Linked DNA regions of Mus musculus. The protein of the gene in region 1 interacts with the protein of each later gene in a pairwise test. Links are inferred from orthologs where the notes say so. Each region holds a gene or a part of one and is shown in the gene's direction. Other genes may lie near its edges.

The links. The genes of interacting proteins can lie anywhere in the genome.
Region 2: the proteins of Dazap2 (region 1) and Krtap8-1 interact in binary tests that used the Homo sapiens proteins (3 or more experiments, as listed by UniProt). The two-hybrid records come from large-scale screens. The link is inferred for Mus musculus from reciprocal best matches to the Homo sapiens genes DAZAP2 and KRTAP8-1.
Region 3: the proteins of Dazap2 (region 1) and Maged1 interact in binary tests that used the Homo sapiens proteins (3 or more experiments, as listed by UniProt). The two-hybrid records come from large-scale screens. The link is inferred for Mus musculus from reciprocal best matches to the Homo sapiens genes DAZAP2 and MAGED1.

The regions. Positions count from the first base shown.
Region 1 is NC_000081.6:100,618,639-100,621,274, forward strand, and holds the end of Dazap2 (DAZ-associated protein 2), read left to right. Parts: intron 1-729; coding exon 730-858; 3' UTR 859-2,123; downstream 2,124-2,636. UniProt on the Homo sapiens protein: In unstressed cells, promotes SIAH1-mediated polyubiquitination and degradation of the serine/threonine-protein kinase HIPK2, probably by acting as a loading factor that potentiates complex formation between HIPK2 and ubiquitin ligase SIAH1.
Region 2 is NC_000082.6:89,486,863-89,489,259, reverse strand, and holds Krtap8-1 (keratin-associated protein 8-1), read left to right. Parts: upstream 1-1,307; 5' UTR 1,308-1,352; coding exon 1,353-1,538; 3' UTR 1,539-1,886; downstream 1,887-2,397. UniProt on the Homo sapiens protein: In the hair cortex, hair keratin intermediate filaments are embedded in an interfilamentous matrix, consisting of hair keratin-associated proteins (KRTAP), which are essential for the formation of a rigid and resistant hair shaft through their extensive disulfide bond cross-linking with abundant cysteine residues of hair keratins.
Region 3 is NC_000086.7:94,539,215-94,543,480, reverse strand, and holds the start of Maged1 (melanoma-associated antigen D1), read left to right. Parts: upstream 1-1,455; 5' UTR 1,456-1,589; intron 1,590-2,156; 5' UTR 2,157-2,185; coding exon 2,186-2,230; intron 2,231-2,933; coding exon 2,934-3,626; intron 3,627-4,199; coding exon 4,200-4,266. UniProt on the Homo sapiens protein: Involved in the apoptotic response after nerve growth factor (NGF) binding in neuronal cells. Inhibits cell cycle progression, and facilitates NGFR-mediated apoptosis. May act as a regulator of the function of DLX family members.

The DNA.
Region 1 (2,636 bases):
AGTAGAATGCACGGTCCCTAGTAAGTAGGTTTTATTTTCCAGGTCCTCCTGCTCAGTGACACTGTGTATGGGGTTTGTAGCCCACAAGGTTCTAGCAAAGGGCATCTTCTTAGGAGTCATTCTAGAGTGAGGTGACTAGAATGGTATCATTATTGGCTTTTAACAATGTTGTATGTTAAAAACCTAGGGTTGCTGAAGATGTAGCCCACTAGTAGAGCATTTGCTTATCTTGTACAAAGGGCTCTCCCCCTCCCTGGTAAATAAAACCCCACATTCACAAGAGATCCTGTGGGGTGGGCGTGGCTCTCCCTGAGAAGGATGGGATCTGGATTTACAGGCTACATCTTAGAGCTAGAACACTCTGGGTGAATGACAGATTTCCTTTCCTGTTTATGTCCTGGATTCAGAGAGAGTAGGCATGCTCTAGAACAAACTGTTGCAAACTTAGCTCCTTAAAATGCTGGTTGCTTGGTACTGTAGTACACTCGATAATCTTAACAGTGGGGAGGTTGAGGCAGCAGACTTCCTTTGAGTTTAATGTCAGTCAGGGCTACATAGCATGAACCAGTCAAGTGAGAGTTACTCAGACCCTGGGTGGACCTATCCCACTGCCTGCAAAAAAAAAAAAAAAAGAAAAAGTTACCGATTGGCACATTGCCATCTTCTTACGCAGCATCTGCTTCCTGTGTTCTTTCCCTGTGCCCACTGTACCTTGTTCTTTCCTTCTAGCCTCCACCTCCTGGATGCCCTCCCAACGCTGCTCAGCTCGCAGTCATGCAGGGAGCCAACGTCCTTGTAACTCAGCGCAAGGGAAACTTCTTCATGGGTGGCTCAGATGGTGGCTACACCATTTGGTGAGGAGCCATGGCCACTCCTGTGCCGGGGAAGACATCACATACCTTCAGCACTTCTCACAATGTAACTGCTTTAGTCATATTAACCTGAAGTTGCAGTTTAGACACATGTTTTTGGGGTGTCTTTCTGGTGTCCAAACTTTTGAGGCACTTTTCAAATTTAATAAGGAACCATGTAAGGGTAGCAGCCCCTCCCTAAAGCATTCTGAGGTAAGGAGGTATCCATTCTTCAAATGAATGTGAGTGAAGCAGCCCAAGGCTCTTCCTTAATTCCTCTGGAGTGATGCTGTGCCATGCTGGTCTTTGCTTCTAGTAATAAAACATCAAATTAGGTTTGGAGGGAACTTTGATCTTCCTAAGAATTAAAGTTGCCAAATTATTCTGATTGGTCTTTAATCTCCTTAAGTTTTTGATTTATCTTACTTGGTAAATGAAATGCATTAGCTGTCTGCCTTTTCCTTCCCATCCTCTGCCCAGCCTGTCCACTGTCCCTGCTCCTCCACCCCCTCCCATCACTATCCATAGAATCAGTGGTGCAGGACCGAAAGCCAGACTCAGCCCCTTGTCTCCCTGCACCTGTCCCACTTGACATTTTTTAACTCATCTTTCATAAGGATCCTCTGAAGCCCCCTGTGTGACCTGAGCACAGACTCCATTTCTTCAGGTTTTGTATATCTCCAGGCAAGGTGAAGGGTACCCTTCGGACCCGCCTCATAAACCATCTCTGCATCACCATGAACCCAGACTAGCTGTGGTGCCAGAAACCTGAACTTAAACAACAGTTCTCAGTGCAAACTGTCCTAGGAAAATTTAAAGATGACAGGCAGGGGAGAAGATGCATATCAAAAGCTTGGCTTTAAAGTCTAAGGGAGTTTTAGATCAAAAACTAGCTATCACTTCCTGAGTGTCTCATGTAGCCACTCAGGCTCCCAGGAGTTTCCTGAGGTAGGTTAGTAGGGTCACGTGAATGCCTCACTATGACATGACTTGAGTCCAGTGAGATCTCATTAGGATTAATATTTCAGGGATCCTTAATATTTTGATTTGTTTTCCGAGATTGGATTTTATTTTATCTGCTATTTCAGTTCATCTAAATCTTGTGTTCTGTACATGTGATGTTTGACTGTACCATCGACTGTTATGGAAGTTCAGCGTTGTATGTCTCTCTACACTGTGGTGCACTTAACTTGTGGATTTTTTATACTAAAAATGTAGAATAAAGACTATTTTGAAGATTTGAATAAAGTGATGAAGTTGCATTACACCTCACGCCAGCATTCTTTACTTAGCATGTGCTCAGATGGCTTCCTTTATATGGCAGGTCTTTAACATCCCACCCAGAAACCAGCTAGTGCTCCCATTGCTGTTTCTTCAATACGTCTTTGAAGTAAATGTAGGTGTGTCAGGCTAGGCTTGACTGCTCTCCTGGGTTCCACTAGAGATGATCCTGGACTCACAACTGTAATCCAGTACTCACGGGGCAGAGGCAGGCCGATCTGTGAGTTAGAGGCCAGCCTAGTCTACCCAGAGAAACCCTGTCTCAAGGGTAAAAAAAAGAAAAGAGCTTTACAGATGGGATTGAATGCCAGGTCTTTCTTGGCTCCATCTATATTATACACAGGGATCTGGGAGATTGTGGCCCTTGCCAGAATTGAGAACAAACCCACTTATTTCTCATGTGTTTCCAGTGATGCTTGTCTGGGACAAACCTGGGTTGTCCTCATTGCCAACTCCTGAATAGTTTTGAGAACTGTAGAACTTCCATTAAGTCCTTAGAAAGAT
Region 2 (2,397 bases), on another chromosome or scaffold:
ATGTGGTACTGTTGTAAATCATACATAAAGTTCCATGAAGGGAAGTCTGCATGCAGGTATTAGGGAAATGATTTGCCAGATCATATATGGCCCAAGACAGTTTTGATAAATCTAATCTTCCTCCAATTCCTATTTGTGGACTAAATCTCCACTGAAAGGAGATTGGTCTAGGCTCCCTATTCTAGGGTAAATAATCATTCTAAAAATGAAATGTATAAACTTCATTATTTCCAATGTAGTTACCACTTCTCACTCATTTTTACAATTTCTAGCATCTAACAATTACTTGAAATTCAAAAGACGTTTAGTTTATGACTGTTTTAAAAAGTCTGTGAGTTTATATTATCATTTGACACTTCATAAAAATCATCATATTTTTTCAGATAAAATGCTCTTACTTGATTCAATAGAAAAGTCATCTTCATTTTAGGATAAAATTTTCCATTAGTTTTTGTTGTTTTTGCCATGTTGCTACTTTAAATATTTACCTGAAATAGTGTATTGGATCAACAAATCACACCAGTGTGACATTTAGAATTATGATTAATCAACAAATTATACTTTTATTTTACAGATTTTTAATTGCAGAGGTGGTATAGACATGTACTACTAGATATGATTCTGATGGTGTCTATCCAATTAACTTTTACACACAGTTTAGTTTCCTGAACAGATTAGCTATAGATGGGGGAAGGTCTGTGGTGAGCATCTTACACACAGAAGAAGAAGAAGAAGAAGAAGAAGAAGAAGAAGAAGGAGGAGGAGGAGGAGGAGGAGGAGGAGGAGGAGGAGGAAGAGGAGGAAGAGGAGGAGGAGGAAGAAGAAGAAGAAGAAGAAGAAGAAGAAGAGAGAATTCTTTAATCCAGTAAATGGTAAGAGATACTGATTTGGAGACAAACTCATAGCTTATTATTTGACTTAAAGTGTCCTACACATATCTACTGAATTCTAAACCTGGTTGTATAAATTCAGAGCAGGAGATGACTGCATTAAAGCTAACAACACTAGACTCTTTCTTGGCGTTACAAAGCCTGATAACTGAAATTATATATAGGGTCTGTAAGACCAAGCGCTTTTGAAGTCCCTGTAATAACCCATTTTGGAAGGCACATAACTTGTTTGATGGAATCGTCTCCTTGCATTATATCACAAAGAGCTTTTTCATAGACTCTTAGGCAAGAGCACAACAAATTAACGAGCTTTGTGTAGTGCAAATTGGTGTCAAGAATGAAAATGAGGGCCTTGTGTTTTCTTAAGCCACACCCCCCAGTCGGGGTATATAAAGATGGTCTGAGACTACAGAATCCATCACACTCACTTCCCTCCTACCTAAGCCTTCCACTCCTGACATCATGTACTACACCGGCGCTGAGGGCTCTGTCTTCCCAGGATGCTACTGGGGCAGCTATGGCTACCCTCTGGGGTACAGTGTTGGCTGTGGCTATGGTAGCACCTACTCTCCAGTTGGCTATGGCCTTGGCTATGGCTACAATGGCTGCGGGGCTTACAGAAGATACTGGCCATTTGCTCTCTACTGATTTGCTGTGATCCCCCAGGCACAGTTCCATCTCTTCATGAAGGCTTTGTGACACCTCCAGGTTCCAGCCTCACCACCCTTCATCTTCCTTTCTTCATCAACCTCTTCCAAGAAGCTGTTTTTCAGATCTTACAACTGAGTCTCAAGCAAAGGAACTGAAAATCTAGATGATGCCTTACTCTGCCTTTCCTGGATGCTCTTTCTTTAGGACTTTTTCAGAAGCTTGGCAACCCATGTGGCACGTATTGCTTTGGAATATTTCAAGACTCTCATGATTCCCTGTTATGGTGAAGTTGTGGATGTGTCTGTCAAATTCTCAATAAATTTGTCTGAGCTTGCATAACATTTCATTTCTTGAGTGGAGTTTCCTTTCTTGGTATGTGCATATTTTCTGATACATTCACTGGGGGAGGGAAGCAGGTTTAATTTTAATCACTTAGCCTAAGGAGTTGTGAAGAGGCAAATAGTCTTTGATCTTGTGTGATACATTGGTAAGAGGTTGGTTACTATCCTGAAAAGAGTTGCTTCTCTGAGCTTTTCCTGTGTTGAGAATTTATTTTGGCATGGAAGCTGGACTGGAGTAAGACAGCCAAGGAGGGTTTTTATGAGACTGGCATCCCTCATGTCAAGGATACATTGTTTGGCATCCCTCTTCTATCTCACTATCACCTGCCTTTCTCTAAGTAAAACAGAACAGGAGAAACTTTCACAGTTATTCTGTGTTAGTGTAGATGAAACTCACTGTGATCTGTCTCCCAGGGAATAACGATTGCAGAATTTAACACCATGTCCCCTCTTTAAGGACTCTGGAGCATTAAGTAATAGAGAAGGTACACACATCCTTTGAGTCTGAGATTCTG
Region 3 (4,266 bases), on another chromosome or scaffold:
TTGAGTCATTTCGCATCTGTATGCCATCTTTCTGCGTTTGTTTCCCCAGCTGTCCTGGAAGCACAGCTGGCTGTGTGTCCTTGGGCACGACCCTCTTTGCGGGATTCCTGTTTTGGATAGTAGTGAGTAAACCAGGCTCAGAGAAGTCCACTAAAGTGTAGTGACTATATCTCAGGGGACTCACACAGCGAGGGACAGATAGGGCAGACACTCCTCCCGGAATTCTAAAGCCAAGGCCAGCTTCATTCTGCAAGAACAAGGCAGACACACCTGAATGCTCTGGCCGCTCCAGCAGTCACCAAGAAAGCCTGCGGTCTCGCTCCTGGAGACTGCCTACTAAGAGGAGCACAGAACGAACCTAAAGGGTCCCCACACATGCCAGGCCTCCTAGAACACAAGCCTTATTCCCATGGAACAAATATTGGGGAGAGGACAGCTTGTTATTCCAATAGAGGTTGAAGGAGTGCCCCTGTTCTCAGACTAGATTTTACACTCAGGAAAATCCAGGCCCCTCATGGATGGTTTTGTTTGTCTTTTAGATCAAGTCTCAGAGTTGCACAGCTGGCCTGGAACTCAGGGCTTTCCCTGAGTCCCCAGAGTGCTGGGATTACCAGCCTGCGCAGCGGTGCTGGGGCAGGTTCTGGCCTTTCTGTGTGGTACCAGCTCAATGCCCCGGGCTTCTGCATTAGCTACCTGGTGTGTTAAATGAGAATGTTGCACTCCATCCATCTCCCTAAAACAGCCTGCAAGAAAAACAAGCCCCAGGGCAGACCCCACAGCCCAACGCCTTTCCCTCACCTCTCTAACCCAGCCCTCAAAAAGGGTTTCGATGGGCAAAAACTGCCAAAAGGGCGAGAGAAAAAGCTCATTTTCTGAGTCCAGTGAGAGGAAACCTATAGATCCCCCCCCCCCCCGGGCGACCCTTGCTCCGGTATCTCTGCAATGGTTTTTTTTTTTTTTCTGGCCTTTAAGGTTTCTGCGTCGTAGAGTGGGTGAACTCAGCAGAGGCCTAGCATGTTTCGAAATAAGAGACCCCCGCGGGGGGCCTACCTACGGGGCTCTGCACACGGGGGTGGGCGGGAGCTGCGGACCTGGCTAGAGAGAGTTCGGGAAAAAGGGCGGGACTGAGCATAGACGCATTGCGGAGAAAGGTAGGGGGCTGGTGTGTCGGGCCAGGGGGTGGGACCGAAAGGCGCTGCGCATCTGTTGAAGGAGTGGATGCGTAAGGAGAAGGGGAGGAGGAACCTTTGTCCACTGTCAACCTGGTTGGCGGTGGGATAGTGTGCTGGCAAGGAGGCGGGCTCTCCTCCAAGTGCACATGCGCAACAATGGCTCTGGGATGAAGCTTTTGTTGGGAAAGCAAGCGGGACTCTTATTTGGACAGTGATCTGCTGCGCATGCGCGGCGCGTCCAGAGGCGGTGGGTGGTATATTAGGCGGAGAGGCGGGGTCGCCCGAGCTGCCGCGCTGGCATTTTCTCCTGGACGCGGAGAGAGTGCGGGTGCCGAGAGCCGGACAGAGCCATTCCCGATCCTCTTGAGTCGCGAAGAAGGAAACAGCGAAGGGATTGGGGTTCGGCCCTGAGGCAAGGTGAGGTTCGCCCCCAGACGGGGCATCTGCCCCCCTGGCGCGGCGTCCTTCCGCCATTCTTTTCTCCCAGTCCCTTCACCCTGGATTCGGAAGCCCCCTGCTCTGCCTGCTCCCGGATTCAGACCCTGCTCCCGACCCTTTTCTAATTTGAAACTCCGTCCGTCCCCCTGAATCTTTTCTCCAGTTCCCTCCCCGAATCCTATTTCCCGACCTTGATCCCGTTAGATGGTTCCTCTGAATTCAGAACCTTAATTCAACTTTTCGGACGCCCGTGTCTCCCCGCTCGCCGCCCTCCCTCCCCGCCCCCGTAAACTACCGCATCCACAGCTCCTCTCTGACTCCAAAACGGCAGCGCTGAAGCTTTTCCCTGGCCGCGTCTGAGATTGGAGATGGTCTAGCGGGACGACCGGTTACTTTTCCCGCTCCGCTTAGGCCTGGTTCTCCCCCCGGACTCGGCACCTCACCCGCCCCCAGAATCAAAGCACACACGCACACAGAATTCGGTCCTATGTCTTTTCCTTCTGTAGTGTAATGCCCAGCTCCTCTCTCCCACACCCCCCCCCTTAGGCTCTGCTCTTGCCAGGGAGACGAGAGCTATGGCTCAGAAACCGGACGGCGGTGCAGGCCTCCGCGGCTTCCAGGTGAGGACCCCGCTCCCAATTCCCCCATTTTTCCCCTGCTGACAGTTTACGCCCACCCCCGGCCCCTTAGGTCGCGCGAATGGCAGGATCTGATTTTGCCCTTCTTCCGGCCTAGACACCGCGGGCTCTCAGATTTCTAGCGTTTATCGAATGGGGGGGAGGGGCGGCCCTTTTCAGCCATCGGTCCCTGCTTAGAGAAAGGGGAGACCCTGTTAGTCAGGGCATTCTGCCCAGAGAATGCGGGTTGGGTAAGGAACCATTTTTTTTCCATAACCCTGACGCGTGTAGAGCAGTCTGTCGCCCCATCCCCCAACCTCTCGCCTCCACCCTCCCTTTCTCCACGCCGCGAGACTCCCCCTCCACCCTCTCGGCTTATCCTCCTTGATTCCTCCCTCCTCGGGTCTTGAGCTCCCCACCTCAAGCCTAACCAGTCCGTCTCTAAACCCATTTGGGGCTCAGAGCTTGCACCACATTCCGCACCAGCCCCTGCTGCCACAGACTGTCCCTCACCTTGCCCTGCCCCCTCTACCCTTAATTAAATTTTGTTCGCGCCCCGCCTCCCTTTGACCCGCCTCTGCCCCCACGTCTGAGTACTGTGACGCCTGTCTACAGCTCCCCTGCTGCGTTGCGCCGCGCCCCCCCCCTCCTCTGGTCTGCCATGTAAGGCTCAGAGATTGAAATGTTGCCCCTCCTGTGTTTGCAGGCTGAGGCCTCTGTTGAAGACAGCGCCTTGCTTGTGCAGACCTTGATGGAAGCCATCCAGATCTCCGAGGCTCCGCCCACCAGCCAGGCCACAGCAGCTGCCAGTGGGCCAAATGCTAGTCCCCAGAGTTCACAGCCCCCAACTGCCAATGAGAAGGCTGATACTGAGGTTTCAGCAGCTGCTGCCAGGCCTAAGACAGGCTTTAAGGCCCAGAATGCCACCACAAAGGGGCCAAATGATTACTCTCAGGCACGTAATGCCAAGGAGATGCCCAAGAATCAGTCTAAGGCGGCCTTTAAGTCACAGAATGGCACCCCTAAAGGTCCACATGCTGCCTCTGACTTTTCCCAGGCAGCACCCACAGGCAAATCAGCTAAAAAGTCTGAAATGGCCTTTAAGGGTCAGAATAGCACTAAGGCTGGCCCCGGTACCACCTACAATTTCCCTCAGTCTCCCAGTGCCAATGAGATGACCAACAACCAGCCTAAGACAGCTAAGGCTTGGAATGACACTACTAAGGTCCCTGGAGCTGATGCCCAGACCCAGAATGTAAATCAGGCCAAAATGGCTGACGTAGGGACCAGCGCAGGTATCTCTGAAGCTGATGGTGCAGCAGCCCAGACATCAGCAGATGGCTCCCAGACTCAGAACGTGGAGTCCCGGACTATAATTCGGGGCAAGAGGACCCGCAAGGTGAGATCCCAGCTAGCTTCCCTTTGCTTTGGGCTCTCTCCTTTCTTCCAATTTCCTTGGCTCCAAACACAATAAAGGGCATGGATTTATCTGTATTTTGGCACAGTTGTAGGGGGTGCTAAGGTAACTATTATTCCTGAGCCCAGGTTGTCCACAGGCTGATGATGAGTTGATACAAGGACACAGGCAATATGTGTGTAGGCCATCTTACATTTTGACATTAAACACCATGTCTTAAGCTAGGCAGGCTCACACAGAATCAATTAGATCTTGAAGATGTACCTCACTCTCTAGAGAGAACAGAGTCAGGAAGAAACGAGTTCAGGGTGAAACCAAGCACTGTCCGTAGTCACACAGGAAAAGGAGAAATCTAGGTCCCACTTTCTGTTTGTTTGTTTGTTTTTTCCTTTGTCTGGTTTGGAGATGAAACGCCTGTCTGAAAGACAAAGAGAATCAAAGTGACCAGTGGCTAGTGAGGTGTAGGTGAAGATTCCTAGGTACTTCCTAAGATAGCAACTGGGAGGACCCAGGATTAATAGTGACCCTGAAATTTTCTTCTCTCTAATTATACAGGTTAATAACTTGAATGTGGAAGAGAACAACAGTGGGGATCAAAGGCGTGCCTCACTGGCCTCAGGGA